Linked DNA regions of Yarrowia lipolytica. The protein of the gene in region 1 purifies or fractionates together with the protein of each later gene. This does not show direct contact. Links are inferred from orthologs where the notes say so. Each region holds a gene or a part of one and is shown in the gene's direction. Other genes may lie near its edges.

The links.
Region 2: the proteins of YALI1_C33098g (region 1) and YALI1_E24513g purify together in Saccharomyces cerevisiae (affinity purification with mass spectrometry, with the first as the bait; 3 studies listed by BioGRID). This does not show direct contact. The link is inferred for Yarrowia lipolytica from reciprocal best matches to the Saccharomyces cerevisiae genes GAR1 and UPA2.

Annotation. Positions count from the first base shown.
Region 1 is NC_090772.1:3,308,696-3,311,531, reverse strand, and holds YALI1_C33098g (uncharacterized protein), read left to right. Parts: upstream 1-1,704; coding exon 1,705-2,310; downstream 2,311-2,836. Other genes in the region: YALI1_C33100g (uncharacterized protein), read right to left, coding at 1-1,313, 1,372-1,526; YALI1_C33086g (uncharacterized protein), read right to left, coding at 2,577-2,836. UniProt on the Saccharomyces cerevisiae protein: Non-catalytic component of the H/ACA small nucleolar ribonucleoprotein (H/ACA snoRNP), which catalyzes pseudouridylation of rRNA and is required for ribosome biogenesis.
Region 2 is NC_090774.1:2,449,579-2,453,419, reverse strand, and holds YALI1_E24513g (uncharacterized protein), read left to right. Parts: upstream 1-2,072; coding exon 2,073-2,081; intron 2,082-2,135; coding exon 2,136-3,281; downstream 3,282-3,841. Other genes in the region: YALI1_E24532g (uncharacterized protein), read left to right, coding at 189-1,880; YALI1_E24487g (uncharacterized protein), read right to left, coding at 3,459-3,841.

The DNA of each region.
Region 1 (2,836 bases):
CGACGTCACCAGGTTTCAATGAGTCCCATTCTCGCTTGTCCTGTCTGTAAATATCCACGGTGATCTCCACACGGCAGTATCCGGGATTGGACTCGCCCACAAAAGGAGGTGCCACATGCAGAACAGCCTCGTTAAGGATCTTTGTAGCGTACTTGCTGAATCCTGTGATTTCCTCTCCGGCGTCGTTTCGTTTTCTCGTCTTGAGACGGTTGACGACATTCTCCACATCACTATTGATCTGATGGAAGATCTCGACCTGCTGAAGACGCAACGACTTGAGAATAAAGTCGTTCATACTGAGATACTGCAGAGTAAGTCGGGGTAGAGTAAGCTCGGAGTACTGTGAATTGAGCGACTTTTCTGTAGGCAGCAGGTCTATAGCGTCAAACTCGGCATTCAGGTTTCGGTTTGAAGTGAGAGATGCCAACTGGTAGTTGAGAGTCACCAGTTTCTTGCCTGAGCTTCCCAGCAGGTTCAACAGGCTCTCAATTTCAGCCTTGGACAGGTTCGACAGCTCCTTCTTGACCTCATCCTTTGTGAGAGATGCAAAGTTACACAAACTCGCGAGTCGCAGCTTTTCAGGCAGATTCTCGAATGCATAGAGCTGGAACTTTTCCAGATACTGGGTCTGCAGCTTTCGCACTTGCAGAGGAGTCAGCTCTTCGCCGGAGAAATCGTCCATGGGAAAATGCACGTAAAAATCGAGGGTCTTGAGCAAATCGGCGTTACACTTCTTCAACAATGAACACACATTCTTGGACTTGATAACACTGTTGGCGAATCGTCTTGAGGGGATTTGCGACACAATAGAGATGAGAAAACACAGATATGTGTCAACAAACTCCGTATCGTGCTCCTTCTGTAACATGATGTCTGTAAGTGTCGATAGAAACGAAGACTGTTTATCGATGTCCTCCTTCTTGTCGCCCTTGTCGTAGGCTTTCATGGCGCCTCTCCAGAGCTTCCCCAGTCGCTTGTTTCCCTTGAGCAGGTTCTCTCGCACCTTCTCGTCCATATGCATCCATGTGTAGACCGACACCAATGCTCCTGCCTCTGATCGCACCAACTGAGAGTCAAGCCACTGGAAAGAAACGGTCAGAAACCGCAGTAGTTTGGTTCGCACTTTCTGGATCCGTGTTGGCTTGTCTCCGGCCACGAGATTGAGTACCGTTTTGTAAAAATGGCCAAAATTTTCGGGGCTCTTCTCGAACACCGTCCATAGATCGAATCCGTCATTGGCCTTGGCAAGAACAAGGAGTGCCACGACAATGGCATTTGTGTTGGCCTGTTTCTTGTTGTAAACTGGCCATAATCTGGGTTAGTAAGGAGTTCTAGCGGTGTTTCTGTGTCTGTGCATCTCTCTATACTCACTTCTCTAGTCCATTCAGAGACTCTAGGGTATGCAGGTCGCGATCATTGAAGCCGTTCTTCTCGATGAATTGATAGACTGAGTTTATCGACACGTTATCCTTGTTGAGCAGCGCTGCTAGAGGCGAGATCTTGAGCAGGTCTGTCGATAGGGCCATTTTATTGTCGTCACAGAGGTGATGGCTTAGTCAACAAGCACTACCCTACAACATGGATAGTACACTGCATGAGCAGGGCTAGGGCAGAAAAGTTAATGGGAAAAAATTAGTAGGTGCATACAACTTTTTGACCTTACAGTGAACTCATCACAACCTCTACTACAAACATCACACAAAAATGAGCTTCAGAGGACGAGGCGGATTCCGAGGTGGCCGAACCGGCGCACCCATGCAGATGGGCCCTCCCGATCAGGTGTTTGAGATGGGTGCCTTTCTGCACGCTTGCGAGGGCGATATCGTCTGCAAGTCCATCAATGAGAAGATCCCCTACTTCAACGCCCCCATTTACCTTGAGAACAAGACCCAGGTCGGCAAGGTCGACGAGATTCTTGGCCCCATGAACGATGTCATGTTCACTATCAAGCCCTCCGAGGGCTTCCAGGCCGCTTCTTTCAAGTCTGGTGACAAGTTTTACATTGGCGGAGACAAGCTGCTGCCGCTGGAGCGATTCCTGCCCAAGCCCAAGGCCACCGGCGTTAAGAAGCCCAAGGCTGCTGGAGGACGAGGTGGTGCTCGAGGCGGTGCTCGAGGCGGCTTTGGTGGCCGTGGAGGTGCTCGAGGAGGCTTTGGTGGCCGAGGCGGTGCTCGAGGAGGCTTCGGAGGTGCTCCCCGAGGCGGACGAGGTGGCTTTGGAGCTCCCCGAGGTGGACGAGGCGGATTTGGAGGCCGAGGTGGAGGCCGTGGTGGATTCGGCGGTGGACGAGGTGGCCGAGGAGGTTACTAAGGTCTGTCTGATATCAGCATCAATTAGCCACTTACACAAAGTCTGGGGTGAGATTTCCAAATCCCCACTCTGGGCCCATCGCATGTACTCTTTATTTTATTGATTGTATTATACCTAGTAAAAGTTATACACTTACTGCCACAGACACTTCTCACAGATCGTAATCAATATCGACTTTTGATAAATTTTCAAATTTTCAAATTTTCAAATAAGGTTGCAAAAAATTCACACCCCAAAAAGTTGGTCTGTAGTTGGACTTGAGAAGTTCAGTTACCCGGCAGTTCCTTGGTTTCGGAGATATCGGAGATTAGTGCGGCAGACGATGAGTCGGTCGACGCAGCTCCCTCGCTCGTCAGGTACGCCTTGATGTTGGAGACCATGTATTCTCGCACGTAATCCACATCTCGCTTGAAAACTGTGGTCGCCGCAGTCGCCAATTTCTTGGACCATTCCAGAGTGGTCAACTCCAAGCCCGTGGCCTCGTTGAGCACTGTGGTCGGAGGGAAGCCCACGTTGGAGGCGGTTC
Region 2 (3,841 bases), on another chromosome or scaffold:
AATGTCCATTGATGACACCTCTCTACTACCCCACAAAGTCGATCTCATGTACGCTAAACTCAAGGCTCTCTCGAGACATCCGCTTCTTCTGAGGTAAAAGCGCTCGATGTATATAGAACAAATGAGTTGAGTGCAAGTAGTGCTTCTTTCATCTTCACGGTCGTCACATCTCACACATCACACGCAAAATGAAACACTTCGCCAAAACGAATCTCGTCAATCTCTACCTCGAATCTCTCCTGGCTAGCAACCCGCAACTGGGTCTAGTGGAAGATCAGAGAATCATTTATTACAAGAAGAAAAAGTCGGACAAGGTCCGAGTTATTTCGGGCGGCGGATCGGGCCATGAGCCCAGCTGGAGCGGTCTTGTGGGCTCGGGACTACTAGATGCTGCTGTCTGTGGAGACATTTTTGCATCTCCTTCGGCCAGACAGGTTATGGCCGGTATCAGAGCCTCGGAACCCGACAGTGGCGTTATTCTGGCAATCACAAACTACACGGGCGACAAGCTGCACTTTGGACTGGCCCAAGAGAAGTTCCAGGCCGAGTCTGGAGGCATGCAGGTGGCAGTCATCCCTGTGACTGATGATGTCGCTCTCGGACGAACCCGGTCCTCAAAGGTCGGAAGACGGGGACTGGCGGGAAACCTGCTTGTTCTCAAGTCCATGGGAGCCTGTGCTGAGGCTGGAGGTTCCTTTGATCACGTCTCCAATGTAGGACGGGCAGTGAACGACGGACTGGTCACGGTGGGATGTTCTCTGGACCACTGCAGTGTTCCTGGTCGAACAGACGTGGACTTTCATATCCCTCATGACAAGGCTGTACTTGGAATGGGTATTCACAACGAACGAGGACTTGTTGAGGTCGACATTCCCGAACGGCCTGAAGATCTCATCAAACAGATGTTGACTCTTTTGCTAGACCCCAACGACAAGGAGCGAGCCTTTGTGTCCTTCAAGGAGAAGGACGAGGTTATTCTGCTGGTCAACAACTTTGGTGGGCTGTCTAATCTCGAGAATGGAGCCCTAACTCAAGTGGCCCTGTCTGTTCTGGAGCAGGATTATAACATTGTTCCCTGTCGAGTCCTGTCTGGAGCCTTTGAGACGTCGCTAGACGGCCCAGGCTTTTCAATCACTCTTTACAACCCTTCATACTCTGCAACTCTCGTTGAAAAATTATCTAGCAAACAGCTTCTAGAGCTCATCGATGCTCCAACTGATGCTCCTGCTTGGCCAAGGGTCGGTGTCAACGAGCCCAAGAAACAGAAGGTGCTCTCCAAGCAGGAGGAGCTAGCGGCCAAGGACTGCGAAGAGTCGCCTTATGACGAGCTTGTTTCGCGTATTTGCAAACATGTCATTTCAATCGAGCCTTCTCTCACCACCTGGGATACTGTAATGGGTGATGGAGACTGCGGTATGGCAGCCAAAGACGCGGCACTTCACATTCAAAAGGAGTGGAATTCCCGCAAGCAGTCTTCTTTAAAGGGAACTCTTAATCTCCTCTCGTCCTGCCTGGATGACATGGGTGGCTCTCTGGGAGCCATTCTGGGCATCTTTGTTAGTGCTCTCATCTACAACCTGCAAAAGGAAGGAGTTGAACAGGCTCCAAAGGCGGTTGGATTGGCTTCAAAATCTCTCCAGACACACACACAGGCTCGCAAGGGTGACCGAACGGTCATGGACTCTCTGATTCCCTTCTGTGAAGTCTACGCCTCGTCTGGAAGTCTTCAACATGCAGCCAAAGCCGCTCAGGAGGGAGCAGAAAGCACAAAGACCCTCAAAGCTCAGTATGGACGAGCCAGTTATGTTTCAAAGACCGCAGATGTTCCCGATCCCGGAGCCTGGCTGTTTGCCGCAGTTGTTGACCAGCTTTCCAAGTAGACGCGACACCAGCAAACCAAGCAATTTTGATATATTTGATGAATACGAAGTTATTAACTAAACGTCTAAGTAGTCCCAGGTAAACCAAGTAATCCCAACTGTATACACATCCTCCCACCTGCATCAAAGATCACGAAGTCTAATCGAAATTATTTTGAAATTTTCATCAAGCACACCACACCACAAGAAGACATGTCAGAAGTGAGTATGAGCGAGTCAAGAGCGCCAATTTGGATCCCACAATAACTAACCGAGCTCAAGAGAAAGACTCCTGAGGAGCACAAGGCCAAGAAGAAGGCCAAACAGCAGGAGTTTGAGTCCACCCTCACACCCAACCAAGAGAGCGAGCTCCAGACCACGACTCCCAAGGAGGCTCAGCTTTCTGTGACTCTCGTTGTGCCCTCCACTTGCATTTCAGAGACTGTTGTCAAGTCTTACCAACAAGCTGTCCACACTGCTTACCAGATTGCTCGAGCTGCGGTGGCCTACAACGTGGACGAGATTGTCATCTACGAACCCTCAGAGCGGCCCGACATCAAGCAGGAGAAGACCAAAAAGTCCGAGACTAGCTCGTTTGGAAAGCCCAAGATTGTCTTCAACTCTGACGCATCTAACGACCACAAGCCCGAGCTGTCCGAGCGAGCTGTGACACTGGCTTCTCTGCTGCAGTTTTTCGTCACCCCCGATTACCTGCGAAAGTCCATTTTCACCCCGGAAACCACTACAACCAACTTTGAGTACGCCAAGAAGCTGCCCAAGCTGCTGCTACCGTTCATGGAGTCGCGAGACGCCCGATACAAGGAGGGCATGTCGATCCCAATGATCCTCAACAAGAACGTCAAGAGCAAGATCTCCAAACAAAAGAGAAACGTCAAGAAGGCTGAGGCCAAGGGTATCGAGCTGCAGCCACCAACCGTTGATGGTGCCACTCCTTACATCAACATTGGCGCTGCAGAGCCCCACGAGCTCGAATATGGCCAGACCGTTCCTGTGGGCGTCAGAGTGACTGTGGATACCAAGGAGAACAAGGTTGTGTCAGCCACAGAGGCTTACGGACAAGATACCGGGTACTCTGTTCGTGTGGCCACCGACTTCTCTCACATCTTCACCATGCCCTCTACTCCCGAGGGATACGACTACACCGTGTGGTGTCCTGGTGGAGAGTTCCGACAGAGCGAGCTTGCACCGGAAACACAGCCCAAGCCCATTCTGGCCCTGCCCCGAACTGTCAAGCGGCCTCTGTTTGTGTTTGGACAGTGGGATCACGTCGAGGACGCCGTCAAGCACGACACTGCGCTTGGAGTGTCTGGAGCCAAGGAGCTGTTCGATAGTAAAGTGGATTTCAAGAGACCTGTTCGAGTGGAAGACGGAGTTTTTGTTGCTCTTGATCGGCTGGCATAGGAGGATGCGAGTATGGCTACTTGCACGATAGTACAAGTTTCTACGCGCGTACATGTGGTATGGGTGCATATAATGTATATTAATAACATAGATCGGTTAACAGTGAGTTACATGAAGGATGCAAGTTGATGGAGTAGAAATGGTAGGGACCCTAAGGGTTATACGACTTCTCGAGGATTAGAACACAGTGCCATCGCTCTGAATCTCAATAGGAGGCCCGCCGTTGGATCGCTTTTCCTTGGCAATTTCACGACCAGCCTTCCAAGTGCCAGCCTCCAAAAGTTGGGGCAACACAAGAGGCGTTTCCAGCATAGCATTGACCATGGGAAGAAGGGCATCCAGGAAGCCAACGGTAAGAGCTCTCCACTCGACAATCACGTCAGAGGAGGGCTCAAACTTGGGAAGGTCATTGGCACCACTAAGCGATTGTTTCAGTGCCTCAGGCTTGAGAGTCAGAACCCCGAAATCGACCAGAAGACCTCCGTTTCGGTACTCGGGTAGACCAGTAAGTTGCTCTTCTCCCACAAACTTGAGGCCTCCATACTCCTTCATGGGGACCA